3 linked regions of the Nothobranchius furzeri genome follow. The protein of the gene in region 1 interacts with the protein of each later gene in a pairwise test. Links are inferred from orthologs where the notes say so. Each region holds a gene or a part of one and is shown on either strand. Other genes may lie near its edges. The genes, in order: lyar, prkra and bend7.

The links.
Region 2: the proteins of lyar (region 1) and prkra interact in binary tests that used the Homo sapiens proteins (3 or more experiments, as listed by UniProt). The two-hybrid records come from large-scale screens. The link is inferred for Nothobranchius furzeri from reciprocal best matches to the Homo sapiens genes LYAR and PRKRA.
Region 3: the proteins of lyar (region 1) and bend7 interact in binary tests that used the Homo sapiens proteins (3 or more experiments, as listed by UniProt). The two-hybrid records come from large-scale screens. The link is inferred for Nothobranchius furzeri from reciprocal best matches to the Homo sapiens genes LYAR and BEND7.

Annotation. Positions count from the first base shown.
Region 1 is NC_091743.1:56,230,040-56,233,797, reverse strand, and holds the start of lyar (cell growth-regulating nucleolar protein), read left to right. Parts: upstream 1-1,599; 5' UTR 1,600-1,914; coding exon 1,915-2,036; intron 2,037-2,119; coding exon 2,120-2,234; intron 2,235-3,672; coding exon 3,673-3,758. Other genes in the region: zbtb49 (zinc finger and BTB domain-containing protein 49), read right to left, coding at 1-693, 814-965. UniProt on the Homo sapiens protein: Plays a role in the maintenance of the appropriate processing of 47S/45S pre-rRNA to 32S/30S pre-rRNAs and their subsequent processing to produce 18S and 28S rRNAs. Also acts at the level of transcription regulation.
Region 2 is NC_091754.1:21,793,002-21,796,759, reverse strand, and holds the start of prkra (interferon-inducible double-stranded RNA-dependent protein kinase activator A homolog), read left to right. Parts: upstream 1-1,182; 5' UTR 1,183-1,334; coding exon 1,335-1,372; intron 1,373-1,749; coding exon 1,750-1,925; intron 1,926-2,206; coding exon 2,207-2,288; intron 2,289-2,578; coding exon 2,579-2,657; intron 2,658-2,897; coding exon 2,898-3,016; intron 3,017-3,108; coding exon 3,109-3,202; intron 3,203-3,277; coding exon 3,278-3,440; intron 3,441-3,564; coding exon 3,565-3,722; 3' UTR 3,723-3,758. UniProt on the Homo sapiens protein: Activates EIF2AK2/PKR in the absence of double-stranded RNA (dsRNA), leading to phosphorylation of EIF2S1/EFI2-alpha and inhibition of translation and induction of apoptosis.
Region 3 is NC_091744.1:72,597,861-72,600,546, reverse strand, and holds the end of bend7 (BEN domain-containing protein 7), read left to right. Parts: intron 1-38; coding exon 39-156; intron 157-235; coding exon 236-349; intron 350-425; coding exon 426-467; intron 468-864; coding exon 865-923; 3' UTR 924-2,047; downstream 2,048-2,686.

The sequences.
Region 1 (3,758 bases):
AGATTATCTGATGGAGTCAAAGACGAGACTGTGCTCTTTTCAGCTGGCACAGATGTACAAGAAAGGTTAGGTTGAGGCACGTTTCCAGAGGTTACAGGAGTGTTGTTTCGACTCTGGCTCATTCCAAGCTGCTCTTCTGATAACACTAAAGGACCTGGGCCCTGGTTTGAAGCTGCACTACTGGTTTGCAGAGCACTTTGTTTGAAGTACTGCTTACTGTAAAAATTACGGAGCTTATATCCATGAACCAGCTGTTTTTCTACAGGTGCATGAGAGCTGCTAGGTATGTCACCATTTGTGCTGTTGCTAGGCAGAGAAACTGGTATCCTTCTTGTGTGGTCCAGGTCACTGTAAAAATTTGGCCTCTGGGATTCAGAGGTACAGTGAAGGTCAACATCATGTGGAAGACCACTGCCCAGAAGACAGTCATGCTCTGAGCTCAGCATGCCTGGGAGGGAAAAGGAAGACAACTCTGCGGGTGGGGGGCAAGGCTTGAGGAAGGCGTTACACATGGTCTGCACATTTGGAACCTGCAAGCTCTGGGCAATGTCCAGAAGCGCTTGTACGTTTTCTTGGTTAACGTCGAGATGGGAGGTATACATGTAATCCAATATTTGACCAATGCCACTGACATCCTGGATAACCAGGTTGAAAACGTCGCTCTTCTGACTTGGAGAGTTTTGGAACAAAGACCTGGAGAAATCCAATTATAAAACAACTCAATCATCTATAGAATCGCAACATGATTAATAGAGAAAGCTAAAAAATACAAAAACATGTGGATTTTTATTCATTAAATTGACTTTAGGGCACCTGAAATAGGAACTGAAAGCAGCCAGGACATTTTTGTGGGCTTTGAAGCAAACACCTTTAACCACCAACATGCAGTCACAAAGAAGTCCCTGAATTCTTTGTTCCTGGAGCTGCTGGAGAAGGTATGAGCTGTGGCTGGACAGGGAGTCCATGGTCACTCAGCTATTGGACCTCTCTCAACTTCAACCTTACATCAGGGGAAAAAGAAGAAGAAAACAGCTTATCTGTAGCTAATGGGTAACAAACAGCTAAACTGGGTTACAAATGCATTCTTCAGCTGATTCTGGATAAACTTTTGAACTTCATATTTTCATCTATTTTGTTCTGTAAACAGCAGATTTCCGCTGGGCCGAGTTACGAGACCAGCCATGCAAAAATAACAAAATGTCTGCACCAAGCGATCGCAGCAGTGCGTAGGAAAATTGGCTGAACGCGAAATTTCTTTAAAAAATAATGTTTTGAAAAGTAAATAAATTAGATTAACTGCCAACAATCAACTTTAGAAATAAACAAAGCCAACAACTCCCTTAATACATTCCTACCTTTCATTGGGATGATGGGTCACTAGACTGTGGTGACTTACGTCACTTCCTGGTACAGCGCCTATTTCGAAACATGAACACAGATAAATAAATATATATTCTGTTTTAATAAAAGGAATTACATGCTTGTAATTTTATTGGTTAAGGTAATCAAACATTTTTGGCATAATGTTTCCTCTCCCAATCTTTTAACGTTATTTTAATAATTGTAGGAACGTTTCTTTGGGAGCATTTTCCTCACGGAAGGCTAATAATGTAGGATTGAATTGCGTGAAGTATACACGTAGGGAATCAGTAAATGTGCTTCTAGGTGTTTTTTTTGAATCCGATAACTTTTATAAAAGCAACGTATGTTGTTCATCCGCTTGAAAATATTAATTGGCAAATATTATTTTCTACTTTTGTTAGTAGGTTTATTTTTTGTTGTCCACATTTGACCGTTAGCGCGTGCCAAGTCTAGTACTGGGGGATTGTTCCACATTGAGCATCAAACGTTGTTTTAACTTGCTTTAAGAAGCTAAAGGCACCGAGACACAGAAGTCACTGAATTGCTTTTAAAATGGTGTTTTTTACTTGCAACGCGTGTGGTGAATCGTTAAAAAAAGCTCAGGTTGAGAAACACGTGAATATGTGTCGTGGTTGCCAAGTGCTGTCCTGTATCGACTGTGGAAAAGACTTCTGGTAATGGCTGGCCGAGTGTTTACAATCCATAGATTTCTGTTCACAGACTTTTCTTAGTGTAAACTCTTCCATGCTTTCTACAGGGGTGATGACTACAAAGATCACAACAAATGTATAAGTGAAAATCAGAAGTATGGAGGGAAAGGCTACGAGGCTAAGGCAAACAAAGGAGATGTGAAACAACAGCAGTGGATTCAGGTAAACTTCTCTCACCGAACGGTGGTTCCTCCATCCATCCATCCATTTTCAGCCACTTATCTGGAGTTGAGTCGCAGGGGCAGCAGCTTAAGCCGAAAGGCCCAGATTTCCCCCTCTCTGGCCACTTGGGTCAGCTTCTCTGAGGGAACCCCAAGGCCTTCCCTTAGGTCTCCTCCCAGTTGGACGTGCCTCATCAACCTCATCAAGGAGGCGTCCAGGAGCTATCCTGACCAGATGCCCGAGCCACCTCAACTGGCTCTTCTCGAAGTGGAGGAGTAGCGGGTCTACTCCGAGCCCCTCCCGGATGACTGGGCTTCTTATCCTATCTCTAAGGGAGAGCCCAGCCATCCTGCAGAGAAAACTAATTTGGCCGCTTGTATCGCCGATCTCGTTCTTTCGATCACTACCCAAAACTCGTAACCATAGGTGAGGGCAGGAACGTAGATCGACCGGTAAATCGAGAGCTTTGCCTTCAGGCTCAGCTCTCTCTTCACCACGACAGATCAGTACAACGCCCGCATCACTGCAGATGCAGCAACAATTCCCCTATTGATCCCACGCTCCATCTTTCCCTCACTCGTGAACAAGTCCCTGTGATACTTAAACTCCTCCACTGGAGGCAGGACCTCATCCCTGACTCAGAGAAGGCATTCTACCTTTTTCCGATTCAAGACCATGGTCTCGGGTTTAGAGAAGCTGCTTTGCACTCTGCCGTGAAACGCTCCAGAAGAAGTTGGAGATTACATTTTGATGAAGCCAACAGGACCACATCATCTGCAAAAAGCAGAGACCTGATCCTCAGGCCACCAAAACAGATCTCCTCAACAACTTGGCTGTGCCTAGAAATCCTGTCCATAAAAGTTGTGAACAGAATCTGTGACAAAGGACAGCCAGGGCGAAAACTACATTGTTCATCCTGAATCTGGCCTTCGACAGTCCAACAGACCCACCTTTACAGAACCCCTGAATAGACCTTTCTAAGGAGTGTGATCTCCCTGTAGTTGAAACACACATTGCAGTCCCCCTTTGTAATTAGGGGGACCACCACTTCAGTCTGCCAATCCAGTGGAACTACCCCTGATGTCCACGCGATACTGCAGAGCCGCATCAACCAACACAGCCCCACAACATCCAGAGTCTTAGGGAACTCTGGGCTCATCCACCTCCAGAGCCATGCCACCGTGGAGTTTTTTTTTTGGTGACCTCAGTCCCAGAGATTGGAGAGTCCATTCCAAAGTCCACAGACTCTGCTTCCTCCCTGGAAGACGTGCCAGTAGGATTGAGGAAGTGTTCCACCCATCGATTCACAACGTCCCGAGCTGCTTGCCCCTCCTGAGATGCCGGATGGTGGACCAGAATCTCCTTGAAACCATACGGTGGTTTGTTGTTGACTGAAATATTTTGTTAAAATTCAGACTTTATGTATCTTTTTTTTCAGAGAGTACATGAAGCCATGAGCAAACCGGGTATCAGTGCCAAGCTGAAAGATGTGCTTAGACAAGTCAGTACGTATGATAACGTTCC
Region 2 (3,758 bases), on another chromosome or scaffold:
TATTGGTGCGTGTCTGTGTGACCGTTATTTGTATGTTTATTGATGAGCTCTTGTAAAAGCCCAGGAGTCTGCCTAGTTATTTCCAAAGAAGCTGAGTGTGCCAAATTTCAGCGCCTTGACACGACATTCTAATTCTGAACATGTTTTATGTTTCATTTGAGTTGGTGTTAGGTCTTAGTTTTTGCTGCAGAATGGAGTCTGCCTAGTTATTTCCAAAGAAGCTGAGTGTGCCAAATTTCAGCGCCTTGACACGACATTCTAATTCTGAACATGTTTTATGTTTCATTTGAGTTGGTGTTAGGTCTTAGTTTTTGCTGCAGAATGATTTTATTTAAATTGTCCCTGATGTGGCACTTTATATAGCCAAAGCAATAAGCATTTAGACTGAAAATGAATTTATTACCAACTTTGTTTTCTACTGCTATCTAGGTGTAATCATGACAAATTCAAGCCTCTAAACAATCTTAACTGTTCAACAGTACTATATATATATATTTTTTTTAATTTCTTAAAGAATATATTTCTTATCAAATACATTAGTGGAAATGTTCTGGGTGCTTATGTCCAACAGTTATTGGATGAGAGGCAGAGTCTGACCTGGACAGAGTCTCAAAGGGACAAACTTCTACTCACATACACACCTAGGGTCTAATAGAATTGACAATTACTCAAACATGCATGTTTTTGCACATTAGGAGAAAGCCTGAGTTGGTGTGTATGGAGAGAAAATGCAAACTATGCAAGGTTCCAGCTGGGATTTGAACCCAGGATCTTTTGATGCATGGCAACAGTATTTATGGCATTTCCGTGTTCTTTGTCAAAATAGTAAAATGTGGCTATTTAGATTATTGTAATGGGAATAGAAAAAAATGTCAAATGAACAAAGTTGATGAAAAATAAACTTTGATACAAAGTATGCTTTGTCTAAGAGTAACCTGGAAAAAAACTGGTTTCCTATTATAATTAGTTTTCAAAACTGAAATAAAATTTGTGTCAATTTAGTCTTACTTAATTTTTGCATCACATAAATACATTTTATTTATTGTTTTGCTAAAACGTTCCCCCCACTAGTGAGATACAATTTTAGGTTTTTGATTGCAGTCCATTATCTCAACCAGCAGGGGGTGCACTAAATCGCTGCAACCACTTCCGCTGACCCGGATGTGAACACGACTTTTATTTCCCTTTTTCTCCAGGAAGGATGCAGCATTTTCTTCGTTTAGAAACATGAATATGTTTAATGTGAAGAAAACCTGAAGCATTAGATTATATTTATCTTTATTTTTTAAGTTTCCACCAGATAAATTCCTGCTGACCTCCGTAAATAATCCAACATGTCTCAACAGGGGTATCAGTCACCGGACGACAAAAGGTTTGTAGCGTTATTATTTACAAGTTAAATTCAAATCATTTACAGAAACTAGTTAATGATTTTATCTTCTTGTGTGCGTAAAAACAACAGTACGGTTTAAATGGACGCTTCAAACCATTACATTGAAAACCAACGGTTATACATACATTTATTTCTCCTATTTAACAGATTATAGATTGTTTTTGTGATGAAACAACAAAATAATTTTATATTAGAAGTAATCATGAAATACTCGCAATTAGCTACAGTTCCTATTTTTCCTAAACAGTTTGGTAGACACCATATAAAATTCATAAAATATAATTTGTTCAACCAAAATAACCCCAGATTAACCTGTAACAAAGGTTGCATGTTATTGTTTCTTTGTTAAATATAAGTTTGGATTCACAAGAAGCAGAATGGGCCAGCCTGGGGAAGACCCCGATCCAAATCCTGCATGAGTATGGGACTGCCAGTGGGAACGCTCCTGTGTACGAGATGGAGAAAGCTGAAGGAAGTGGCCACCAGCCCAGCTTCTTCTTCAGCGTGAGAGTTGCAGACATTCGGTGTACAGGTAGGTACTACCTAGGTACTTCCTAACTCAGGAGGTAATTTATTGTTGAGGTTTCATGCTGAAAATCCAGTTAGAACTCACTGATCACGTTACAGGTTAGTCTTTTGCTGCTGTAAACTCTTAAATGCATCATCAGCGTGTCCCGTTGCACTTCCAGCGTAGACCTGTGCAAAGAAAATTAAAAATAATTGCAAAAATTTTAAGCTAGAAATTAAAATCTGTGATAAGATTCACTTAATTTTGCTTTTGAAACAAATTTGTTTCGTTATATTTTATTTCAGGTCAAGGTCCTACTAAAAAGGCTGCTAAACACCAGGCTGCAAGTGCTGCGCTGAAGCTGTTGAACCTCGATTCTAAAAAATTGTGAGTGAAGTCAAAACTATTTGCTTACCATTAGTTCATTTACCTGGTTTTTACAGCGAAAACCAAAGAATGTACAGCTTCTATCGGGGTCTCATATGTGAATATTTTAATGCTGCTTAGGCTGCAATAGGAATTTTATTTGTAGTTAAATAATTTGACAGCATTATCTGTAAAGTTATAGAACAAATATATTCAGCAACGTCAGTCGTCAGAAGTTTTGCGTTTTGTTGTATTTATTTGATTTCTTATAACTGTTGAAGCTCTAATGTGTTTGACGTGACGCCCAATAGGACCTCTCCTGGGAAGTCCGACACCAACGGGGATGCAGCGGATGCAAACTACAATCCCAGCTCTGTGTCCCTTCTGCAGGTGTGATCACGTTACATCTTTTATATGTCACGTTTGCTTTTGTGAAAATGTAAAATTATTGTTTTATGTAATTTCTGACGGTCTGTGTTACAGAAGAGAGTACTTATCTTGCTGCAGCTGTTTTACAGTCATGTTTGTATTATTTAACCTTTAAGCAACTGATCAAGGGTGTCATTTTAGTTAATTATATATCATTTTTCTCTTCATATTAATTGACCTAAAATTAAAAATTATTATTAGGAGTTAACGATCCAGAGAGGATGGCGTCGGCCTGAATATGCAGTTCTAGCTGAGTCTGGTCCACCACATCAGAGGGAGTTCACTGTCGCTTGTAGATTTGACTCTCTTACAGAAAAAGGAAAGATTAAACATTTTTTTCAGTCATTTAAATAGTTTGTTTGTTTTGGTTCTGTTGTTTTAATCCTGTTTTATTTATTTATTTATTTTTAGGTGTTGGAAGTTCTAAAAAAGCAGCAAAAAGGGAGGCTGCAGAGAAAATTGTGGCAAAGCTTCAAAGTTTGTCAGGCGGTCCGGAGATCACCTGGGTGAGTCAGGTCTTTCATTTCACCTCCTAAAACATCCACAAGATGTTTGAAATGTTCTTGTTGCTGGTTTTTCAGACTCCTAAACCGAGTGTCCTCCTCGAGAATGTGAAAAAGTCCTCCGCAGAAAAGATTTCCCTACTGAGGAGAAGCCCGCTGAACATTCCCAACGCGGATTACATTCAGATGTTGTTGGATCTGTCCCACGAGCAGGGCTTCGAGGTCACATACTATGATATTGGTAAGAATTTAGTGCTTTGGTTGATGTTTGGAGGCTTCTTTTATCCCGAAAGGCAGAAAAACAGACTCAGGGGAGACCCTATGTCTGCCTGTAGAAAATCCCTGACTGTGTTCATGTCTGACAGATGAGCTGACTGTAAACGGACAGTACCAGTGCCTGGCAGAACTATCCACCGACCCCGTCACCATGTGTCACGGCACCGGCATCTCCTGCAGCAACGCTCACAATGTGGCGGCACATAGCGCGCTCCAGTACATCAAGATCGTAGCCTCCAGCAAATAGACACATCCGCCTGACCACAGCAATCACAGATATCAG
Region 3 (2,686 bases), on another chromosome or scaffold:
ACATACTTCTAAGATCAGGAGCTGTGTTTTGTCCTTAGGTGTGTGCCTTCTTTGATGACGCTACTCTGGCCAACTCTCTGCCAAATGGCAAAAGGAAACGTGGGCTCAATGACAACCGTAAGGGTTTGGACCAAAACATTGTGGGTGCAATTAAAGGTAAAACAAGATCAATTCACTCTTTGTTGCTGGCATAATAAAGACAAATGTTCTAATTATTTGAGTGACTTGTGGCCAGTGTTTACAGAAAAATACTGCACCAATCACAGAATAGAGAAGTTGCCAGGGCCTCGAGATTGGGTGCAGATCCTTCAAGACCAGATCAAACTTGCAAGGAGGAGGCTGAAACGAGGTCTGAAGCAGTCATTTGTTTTCTTTAAGTAAAATAAACAAGTTGCATATCGAAAGCTGTTCTATTGGGTCAATAGATGCTGCAGAAGCTGAGGAAAGCTCAACTGGACCATCGACCAGTAAGAACCTCACACAAAACTGCCTACATTTGCACTGGTTCTTCATCTTACATCACCTTTTCATCAGCCCCCCTCAGAGCACATAATGGCTTCACCTCTCCTCACTCCATTGTCACAACACACCCACAAATTGGTGTCTCTGGCTCCCTCATTGGCTCACCAGGCTATGGCATGCTTTCGCGCTGACATTTGACATTTTCATGCAGCTTCCCAAAATGTCAGCTAATTATCTTCACAACGTGCATCGTTTTCACTCTTTCACCTTTACAACGTAGCCACAGCTGTCAAATATCTAAATTCTCTACTTGCCACACATGCTTACATAAAATTCGCTGTTGTTTTGTTTTATAGTTCACAGCATTAAATTATATACTAACAATATTTTCTTCCTATACAGGCTGTGATTATAAGAAACCTGAATGTGACGAACACACACTGAAGAATGTAACGTGTTGATTCAACAGCTGCCTCGGCTGGAGTTCAGCTGATTATTTTTGTCCTCGTTATTTCTCTAACTGTAAGTGTTGGATTATGCCATTTTGCAACTGTTAACTATTAGGTAAAATGGGTAAAAGAAAATAAAAGGGCCAAACGAGAAAGCATCCATCATGAGCAAATATGGTTTACATTGTGTTAAATGAGCAGTCCATGATTGACATCCTTTTGGATCTGGAATTTTGTGCCAGGAAATACTGATGTAATAAAATAAAATAAGTGATTTATTGTTCACGGTTTAAGCAAATGCCTAAAAGGTGTGGAACACTCATTCAATCAATATGTTTGCAGTAGGAATGAATGCCTTATTAGTCGTACTTGGGGTGCACTGATGCACCATTTCCAGGAACTAGAAGTGAGCCACATCACAGCTGAGCTTCAGACGGCATGTTTTGGAGTCTGATTTCCTGAAATTCGGACAGCTAAACAGCTCTACCACTGACTCTGTTTGCTTTGCAACGTTGATTTTTATTTCCATATAAGCCTGGAGGAGTTCTGCTGTGTGGTGAAGTTGCTGATGCTAACAGTTAGCTTCTACTAGCCAATACATTCTCTGCTGTTTCCTGGATGTTAAATAAACAACAGCCTTCCCTGTTGTGGTCAAGATGGGTGAGTCCATGGGTATTTCTCAATGTCAAGGAGCCTGGCCTCGCTTACGAGGACACTGTCCTTCCTTGGGCAAAGGAAACGGTTAAATGGAACAGACTTGCATGACATGACCACAACTTCCACGGCGGTCATGTCTTGTCACGTGATACATGAGGTAACGTTATATTTTATGCGTATGAGTTTCAATATAAACGTATAACAAGCCTTATACTTTTTAAATTGTGTACATATGTAAGCAACTTATACCTGTTAGCAACCGAATCTGCAACTACTATAGGCAACTATATATATATATATATATATATATATATATATATATATATATATATATATATATATGCTATATTCTGGGAAATTTTTGACCAGGGCCAGGCTACAAGGCACCTCCCGTGTATCCTTGCTCAGCTCAGCTAGGATGCCTCGGTAGAACATGAACATTGGAACACACCTTGGCGGTTCCTGATGATGTTTCTCTTAGGCAACCGGGGCAGGACCAAGACGTCAAGTCAAAGTTCCTTCACATTAAGAAACACCCCATGAATGTTTGGTGACAATGTGATGTAGATCTGTCAGTCTTTTCAAATCGTTGAGTTTTCACCATCTAGTTTGCATGCAGGAGCTAGGCATAGAATTTTTTCATGTTCAGCCTGCATCTCAGAGTGGCCGATTATAATAAAAAATAAGATCTTAAAAGTGGGATTTCAGTGTTCTACACCTTTAAAGAAAATTTGCCAATATAATGGAGATCAGACATATCGAACAAGGCATAATGCTGTAAAAATGAACAGCATTAAATTATTGTTAGGACAACTCATCTCGAAAGAGGTTTTTCCATTGTGGATTGTGCCTTTTAAGTGACCAGTGGTTCAATGGGTGTAATGTGCAGCATCCACCTTGTTTGCAAACCTTATACTCAAAAGCGATGCATATTTGATTAATTTTTTATAATTAATTTTACATTGATTGGTTTAATTGTAATGTAAAAAACAATAGTCCTCTGTAAATATTTATTTTCAGTATTTTATGTATGCATCTTAAAGCTGTTCTTTTCAATCCTCTGATGAAATCATGTATTTTATTTATAAATTTGCTCACTGTGCATTTGAATAAATACT